Linked DNA regions of Tribolium castaneum. The main gene of each other region encodes a partner of the protein of the gene in region 2 in a complex. Links are inferred from orthologs where the notes say so. Each region holds a gene or a part of one and is shown on either strand. Other genes may lie near its edges.

Evidence for each region.
Region 1: Tfb4 (region 2) and TfIIB share a complex: the UniProt entries of both Homo sapiens proteins name them as parts of the TFIID-containing RNA polymerase II pre-initiation complex. The link is inferred for Tribolium castaneum from reciprocal best matches to the Homo sapiens genes GTF2H3 and GTF2B.

The regions. Positions count from the first base shown.
Region 1 is NC_087398.1:13,752,080-13,755,839, reverse strand, and holds the start of TfIIB (transcription initiation factor IIB), read right to left. Parts: upstream 2,460-3,760; 5' UTR 2,328-2,459; coding exon 2,311-2,327; intron 2,238-2,310; coding exon 2,127-2,237; intron 2,072-2,126; coding exon 1,938-2,071; intron 1-1,937. UniProt on the Homo sapiens protein: General transcription factor that plays a role in transcription initiation by RNA polymerase II (Pol II). Involved in the pre-initiation complex (PIC) formation and Pol II recruitment at promoter DNA.
Region 2 is NC_087395.1:24,750,836-24,754,016, forward strand, and holds Tfb4 (general transcription factor IIH subunit 3), read right to left. Parts: upstream 2,042-3,181; 5' UTR 1,866-2,041; coding exon 1,639-1,865; intron 1,592-1,638; coding exon 1,153-1,591; intron 1,017-1,152; coding exon 818-1,016; intron 769-817; coding exon 732-768; intron 683-731; coding exon 619-682; 3' UTR 599-618; downstream 1-598. Other genes in the region: Zip99C (zinc transporter ZIP13 homolog), read left to right, coding at 51-226; Cdk12 (cyclin-dependent kinase 12), read right to left, coding at 2,438-2,665, 2,709-2,994. UniProt on the Homo sapiens protein: Component of the general transcription and DNA repair factor IIH (TFIIH) core complex, which is involved in general and transcription-coupled nucleotide excision repair (NER) of damaged DNA and, when complexed to CAK, in RNA transcription by RNA polymerase II.

The sequences.
Region 1 (3,760 bases), on a different chromosome or scaffold from region 2:
AACGTTTTGAAAATCAAAAACAAAGTATGTTTTAGCAGCCATTCCATTTTAACGGACGGGACACTTCACATGGTTTCTATTTCATTTTCAGTTTTTATGAACAGTATCAGTAAAAGTGAATTTTTATTTATAGGAACTTAGTACCAGTTAAACGGTTTGCAACCTACATAGGAGCCACATTTGTAAAAATTCAAATATGGACAGGAAAAAGAAACACAAATTGATGACGGACGGGACACAGAAAAGACCTCACATTTTTTTCGTTGAGCAATCATTATACAATTCTGTTAATTTAAAGTGCACTAATTCCAACAATTATCTTTGAAGTTAAAGGTGAATCTTTTGAAACCACGAAAACGAACAACAAGGTAATATGTTACAACTTCTAATTAATTTACTTTTTGTTTACACATATGGGGTAAAAAAATCTTGTGCATGCAAATAACTTTAAAAGTTATTCACACAGGTTTTACTTTATTGAAAGACTTTAACAATGACAAAATTAGCCAGTAGAAATTAAAAATTATTGGATGTGTTTCCCATCGTAAGAAATAAGAGCAACATTTATACAGAGTGTTCCGTTTTTATTGTTACGAATTTAAACAGATGATAGAACATTCAATTTTAAGACAAACGTTTCCTATAAACATGTATTGATAAGTACTTCGTAAGAAACCTACCCTACACACTCTGAAAAGGGTGCTCCCTCTATTAGTGGATTTTTCCCAATATTTCAAAAACTATTACAGATATCGAAATGATTCGTGACCAAAAGCTGATATGAAGTACAGTAATGTTTGAATAATTCGAACAGAAAATTTGCAGATTGCAAATAATATCAATAATCCCAACACGCGTTCGGTTTACAGTTACCTTACATAACCAAATAACCATGCAAATACATATCCCTACCACAAAAATTATACTCAGTGGCTATAAACACCGTTAAGTGTTTCAAAATAAAAAAATACAAAATTAAAATGTATTGCAAACAACTATCAAGAATTAAAATCAACATGTGGTATTTCGGATTACGAAATTCAAACGTTCGGATTGTAGGTACAATAAATACCGTTCGGGTTATTAGAGGGGGCTTGTTTAATTTTAACAGTTAAAAATCAAAATTTTCCCAATTTTTTTAAACTTCAAACCGATCACAAGAGGCAAGTATCCTGGTCAGCAATATTGCCAGTTAATAATCAAGAGTTGTCTAAATATTACTGGAATAGCTTCATTCCATTTCTATTCAATAGAGGTTTGTCTTATACAACAAAAAAACTTTCTTGCATCTCAAAAATTTCGATACACAAATATGCAACGTTACAAGAAAATGTATTTTTTTCGGGTTCCCTTTATAAATATTCAACTAAGTAACTACGTAAACATCCACATTAATTGAAAATTTTGTGAAAAAAAATTCTAGCTTTATCAAAAAGGAAGACACGAGGTTGTAAACTCAAGATTTGTCCAGTTTTAGGTTTGTGTAATTTTTTCGCTAAAACGTCTTTTTCATAATGAAAACAATTTCCAATACAAAAACGACCTTCGGATTACAACGCAGCAGAAAATTTTGCAAAATAATCAAATGTTTATAGTCACTTTTTAAAATTGTACAGATCATCCCTTTATATTTATTGCAACCACCCTAAACTCTGTTTATTTGAATAATGTCAAAAAATTCGGCAGAATATTAATATATAGAATTTTATGCTTTACAATTCTTATTAAAAACTTTTTTCCAAGTCATCGATTTTTTACAATCATTACGAAACATTTTATTCGTTTATTCGTTTTTTCAATACCTTCTCGTGATTCAAACAAAACGTTTTGAAATACTTCACAGTAGCACAGACAGTAACTTATTTCAAAAAGGTAAGCTTTTCACTAACATTTTAATTTAAAGGCTTATTTGAGTGGAATATTTAAATAAAACAAACCTCGACCGGGGCCTATCATTGTGGTCAGGTCTGAGCCGTTAAGAAGGGGGTTCTCGGGGCCACCAACACGAGAAGGATCGACCCCCGATTTTTCGTTGCTGAAGGTTCTCCATTCAGATCCAACGTCTATTACTCTACAATGATGCAAGCAAATAAACTTATGATGCGTTTTATTGATTTGAATATTACCTGTCACCTACTACTAAACCGCATTCGGAGCAAATCTGATCGCCTGCTCTGTAATCTTCAATAAGGGGGGCATCTGGATGAGAATTACAACAAACCTTATTCGTGTCATACCTGAAATATTATTTGAGGTTAACATCATTATTATTGAAATTGGAATCGTAACAAGTTATTTATGCTAAAATACCTTGAACTACTCGCCATCTTGTACAATTTTGCACTATTTCTTCTCTATTTATTGTTATTATGACAATTTTCAAGTTTTGACAAGTGTGATAGTTAATCGACACTGTACCGATAAAACAGGTTTCAGTCATTCGACTTCCAGTTTATTGGTAAAGCAGATTTCTGTTAAGAACGTACAGTAGCGACCTCAAAAGTAATAAACTGGCGCCAATTTCAAAGCAATATAAGCTGATTTAAAACGTTCGGGAAATCGGAACCATCTCTTGGGTAAGACAGTCACATCCAACTGACAAAACATTGTTTGTGTATTTTTTCACAACATACAGTTCTTCTCGAGTTAGATTTTTAAGTTGAAGTTTTGGCAATATTTTTTTTCAACTACTTCGACCAAGCTCAAAAAACCTTCGTAATGAGCTCGGAACGCAAATTTAATAATTTATTTTAGAATGAAATTATAGATTAGAATGTGATGACTAATTCGCGGTCTCTTATAGAAAGCAGTTGACTTTTTTTCATTAATTATTATATTTTTATGTAGTTTTATCCTTTCGAAGAGTGACTAAGCTTGTATCAAATTCTGTATTGGCTGCCCTAAGTTTTCGATTTTTTAAGAAATGGTGAAACCTGAGTTTCGAACTGTAAAGAAATATTTTTAAAATGTGTTAGGTTCTACATTAGCATAGTTAAAACTGTATTGCAAAGTTTCAATTGAGCCATACAGGTACAGGCCTTAGGAAACACCACGTCGAAAAAAGTTGAAAAGTGCTTCTCCTGCAGAAATAGTCAGAAAAATCCAAAGAACGGTATTGGAAGATTACAAATGAAAGTTGTATAAAATAGTTCAAACCTTGAGGATTTTAAAACACAAACATCATATCTTTTATCAGTTTTTAAGTATGAGAAAAAATTGGCAAAATGGGTGGCATATTGCTCCTTCTTTGAGCACAAAAGCTCACCGAAAAAAATCAGATATTTTCAATGCTTGGAGCTATTTTAACGCAATCCAATGGATTTTATGCGCCAATGTATAACAATTTAGCTTCAGTCTATTACTGGACTTAAAAAATATTACACTGGAAATAAGTATAAAACAAAGTTTGAAGAAATTACAGCTAAAAAAAGTTTTTTTGAAGAGTTACAAGAATCGGTCCACAAGGATAGTATAAAGATTTCGAAACATCAATTGACTATAAGTGCTAATAACTACAAGGAGATTATATTAAAAAGTAAAAAAAATCTCCTTTTTATGGGAGGCTACAAATAAAACATCCCATCTTTATACTAATTGGTCGTATTTTTAGTAAGGTATATAGTTTTGGCTTGGTTTTATACTTTTGCTCTCAGTAGATATTGTAATTATTAATTACTGAAAAATACAATATTAATATTGATTTATAGATACAAAGCTTTGTTAAAATTTATTTCGTATTTAAATGTTATAATAACGCGAA
Region 2 (3,181 bases):
CCAGTTAAAAATCTCTATTGGGCCTAAAGTGGGATTAATTTGGATTACAGAGGCCCGCACGTCGTGGATTATGCCCTTCACGGCCGGGACGTTCCTCCACATCGCGCTGGTCACGGTCCTCCCGGATTTACTCAAAGAGGAGGACCCCCGGGAGTCACTCAAGCAGATCCTCGCCCTTATTGCAGGGATCAGTGTCATGGCCATCGTGACGACTTTAGTTGAGTGATAAGTGATAAGAATTCAGTTGCCATATTGTTGATAGTTTTGTTGTAAATTACAGTATTAGTTGTAATTTTTGTTTTCTTTAGGTAGGGCATTAAGCGAAAACCATATTTTTCCAGTTGTTAGCATCGTCTGATGGTAATCAGACTGAACTATTTTTGTGATATTAACATTTTTTCAACACAATATATTTTATTATTCTGTAGTACTTAAAGTGCTCTTATATATTTTATATCAAAATAAAACATGACTACGATGATATATTGTAAATAAAGAGCAAGAAACGACCTAGAAACTATTAATACCAGACCCGTCTGACCTCATTCCAATCAAAACAATGCGCATTTATCATTATCAAGGGTAATAATAAAACAAATTCAACAAAAAAAATTTTTATTACAACTTGATTTTCCGCTTTTTCGGCTTCACAGCTAACGGTCCTGGGATTTTGAAGACAGTACTGGAAAAAAAAATTAGTCCACGAATAACACAATTTTGAAAAAACATACTGACAAGTCGTACAAATCGGGCTAAACTTGCAGAAAACTGTAACAAAAATCATTAGCTGGGGCTTAAACCGGCCCACTTCACTCACTTGACAAACACACCGAACAGACGTAACCTATATCAATTAACTCCCGGTGGCAGAAACAAGCCGCCCTGTAGTCAACCTTGACAGGGGGCGGAAGCACCAATTTTTGCCGAATAGGCGGCTCAGGCAAAAACACCCACTGGAAATAATTCAAGGTTGGCAACGCTGGCAATGGATTTTTCACACGCCAGTGTTTCCACGTCTAGTAAAATATCACCAAATCTGGTGATTTATTTCTTAAAATGCGAACATTTAGCAAACATTTAATAGAATTATTTATTATTTCAAATAAAAAATCGCAAAAATGAGGAAATTAAGTAAAAAAAAACAAAACTTACGAGAAGATATTGTAACAGGCCTTGCAGTTGCGGGACTTTCAAGTACAGCCCCCCTGTGATATCGCAGCCTTGCTGCAGCAGACTCAAATGTTGGTCAAGGGCGCACACATCAATCACAATTCCCTGTTTTTGCGCCGTGAAAAAAACGTTCATATAATTCATATACTGCGAGGCGGAGTCTCCGCTCCCCGTCACCACCAAAATGCGGCTGTTTAGGACACACCCGGGGGGCTTCGTCCGCTGGATCCGCGCAATGTAACACAGGGCCATAGCGATCGCCCCTGCGAGCAGTGACTCCGTCACAAGAGTTGATTTTTCGGTGGCCAGCAATTTGGCCAAGTTCTGCTTGATTGTTTTCTCCACTGCCGTGAAAACCTCGTACTGGCCGTCGATTTGGCGCACGTCGAGGGGCTTGTTGGGGCCCGGGTAGATGAACTCGCTGGAGTTTAGGGGTAAAGACAGTGGGGTGGTTATGGGGGCACGTACCTGGTCTTGGAGTGGCAAGCCATCACGGCGAGCTTGTTTTGCGCCTTTTGCATTAAATGAGAGTTGGCGAACGCTATGACTGAGTCTATGCAGTGGGTGAGGACGTGGGGGTTGTCTCGGAGCATCTTCTGGCTGGGGTTACTGTCGACGATTACCACCAGGAGACTAGTCTCGCTGGTTGAGGTGAATTCGGGGGCCGAATCGGCCGGGATCTCCAAATTATTCATTGTTTATGTGCGGTTTAAAAGTGGGGTTATATGGGAATTGAGTGACGTAACTTGAGACACTTCCCGGCATTGGGGCCAGAAAGTTATGCAATATTTTTTTCCCCAATTTCCTTAATAATGACTAAGCACGGAAGTATTGGATCATGTGGTTTTTAACGCAAGTTATTGTACTGCTTGCCCAATTTATGTTAATCGTGTTCGGGATTTGTAACCGCAAGCACAACTAGTCACGTGACCAGTTTTTACTTTCAAAGTGGTTTCAAAATTCGAATTTATTTTTCCTGTAGAAGTGCCGCCGGGCGTTTGGTGCAGCAAAGGTGAGTAATTCCGGGTTCAGGGGTGTGGGTTGCATGTTTGGGGTGCATTTGCGCTTTATAATTTGTCCATTTTCAAATTTTGTCAAAAGTAAGGTTACGGGGGGCCGCCAAATTCAATTCAGTCAGGTAATAGTCATTTACTCATCGATAAATGTACAATTTGACAGTATCTGCTAAAATATGTAATATTTTTGCCACATACATGAGGTTCGTGAACGAAACTGGCAAAATATAAAATTTTTACAAAATTAAGGCTTACAAAATCTTCTTTAAAACATTGGGCCCCAAAACCAGCCCGAAATGTTTCATCAATTCGGTCAAACTTTTCACGACGATGTCGGTATTTAAGGACACTCCCGGACTGTGTTCCCCCTCATCCTCGATTCGCAGTTGCAGTAAATGCGTGGCTGAGGGGTTGTTTTTGCAAATTTGTCGCAACTCGGTTTGGAGTGTCTCCAAGTACGCGATGGTCTGTTGATCCACCTGCAAAAAGCGGTGAATTTTGGTACAAAAGGGGCTGCCGCACCTGTGCCTGCTTCGTTGCGCAAATTTCCATCAGTTGGGGCAACTGTACCGCAGTTTTGTTGACGATTTGCTGCTCAACGGTGCAGAGAAGCTGGTAGAGATAGTTGCGGTTCTCGTCCGTTTCCTGGTGACGCGTGGGGGGCGTGAGCGACTCGCCGTCGGGGATTCTCGGGGGCAACATGGGGGCTATCCCCAGCAGGCCGGGCTTGATTTTCGTGGCCGCGGTCGCGAGCGCGTACGAGAGCACAGCCGCGTCGTAAGCCTCCATTTTTAGCACTTTTGACGAACTGGAATGTGAAATAATCAAATAGCCCAGGTTTAAAATATACGGAATGAATCTGCTAAAAGTTTATTTTTTCGATATCTCATCTGCCAAATTCAGAGTCCATTTAAACATTGTTATTTTAAAATTATCAAAAGAAATATAAAAAAAAATTTTTTCAGGCTCGTAATTACATATTAAGTAAACCCTCA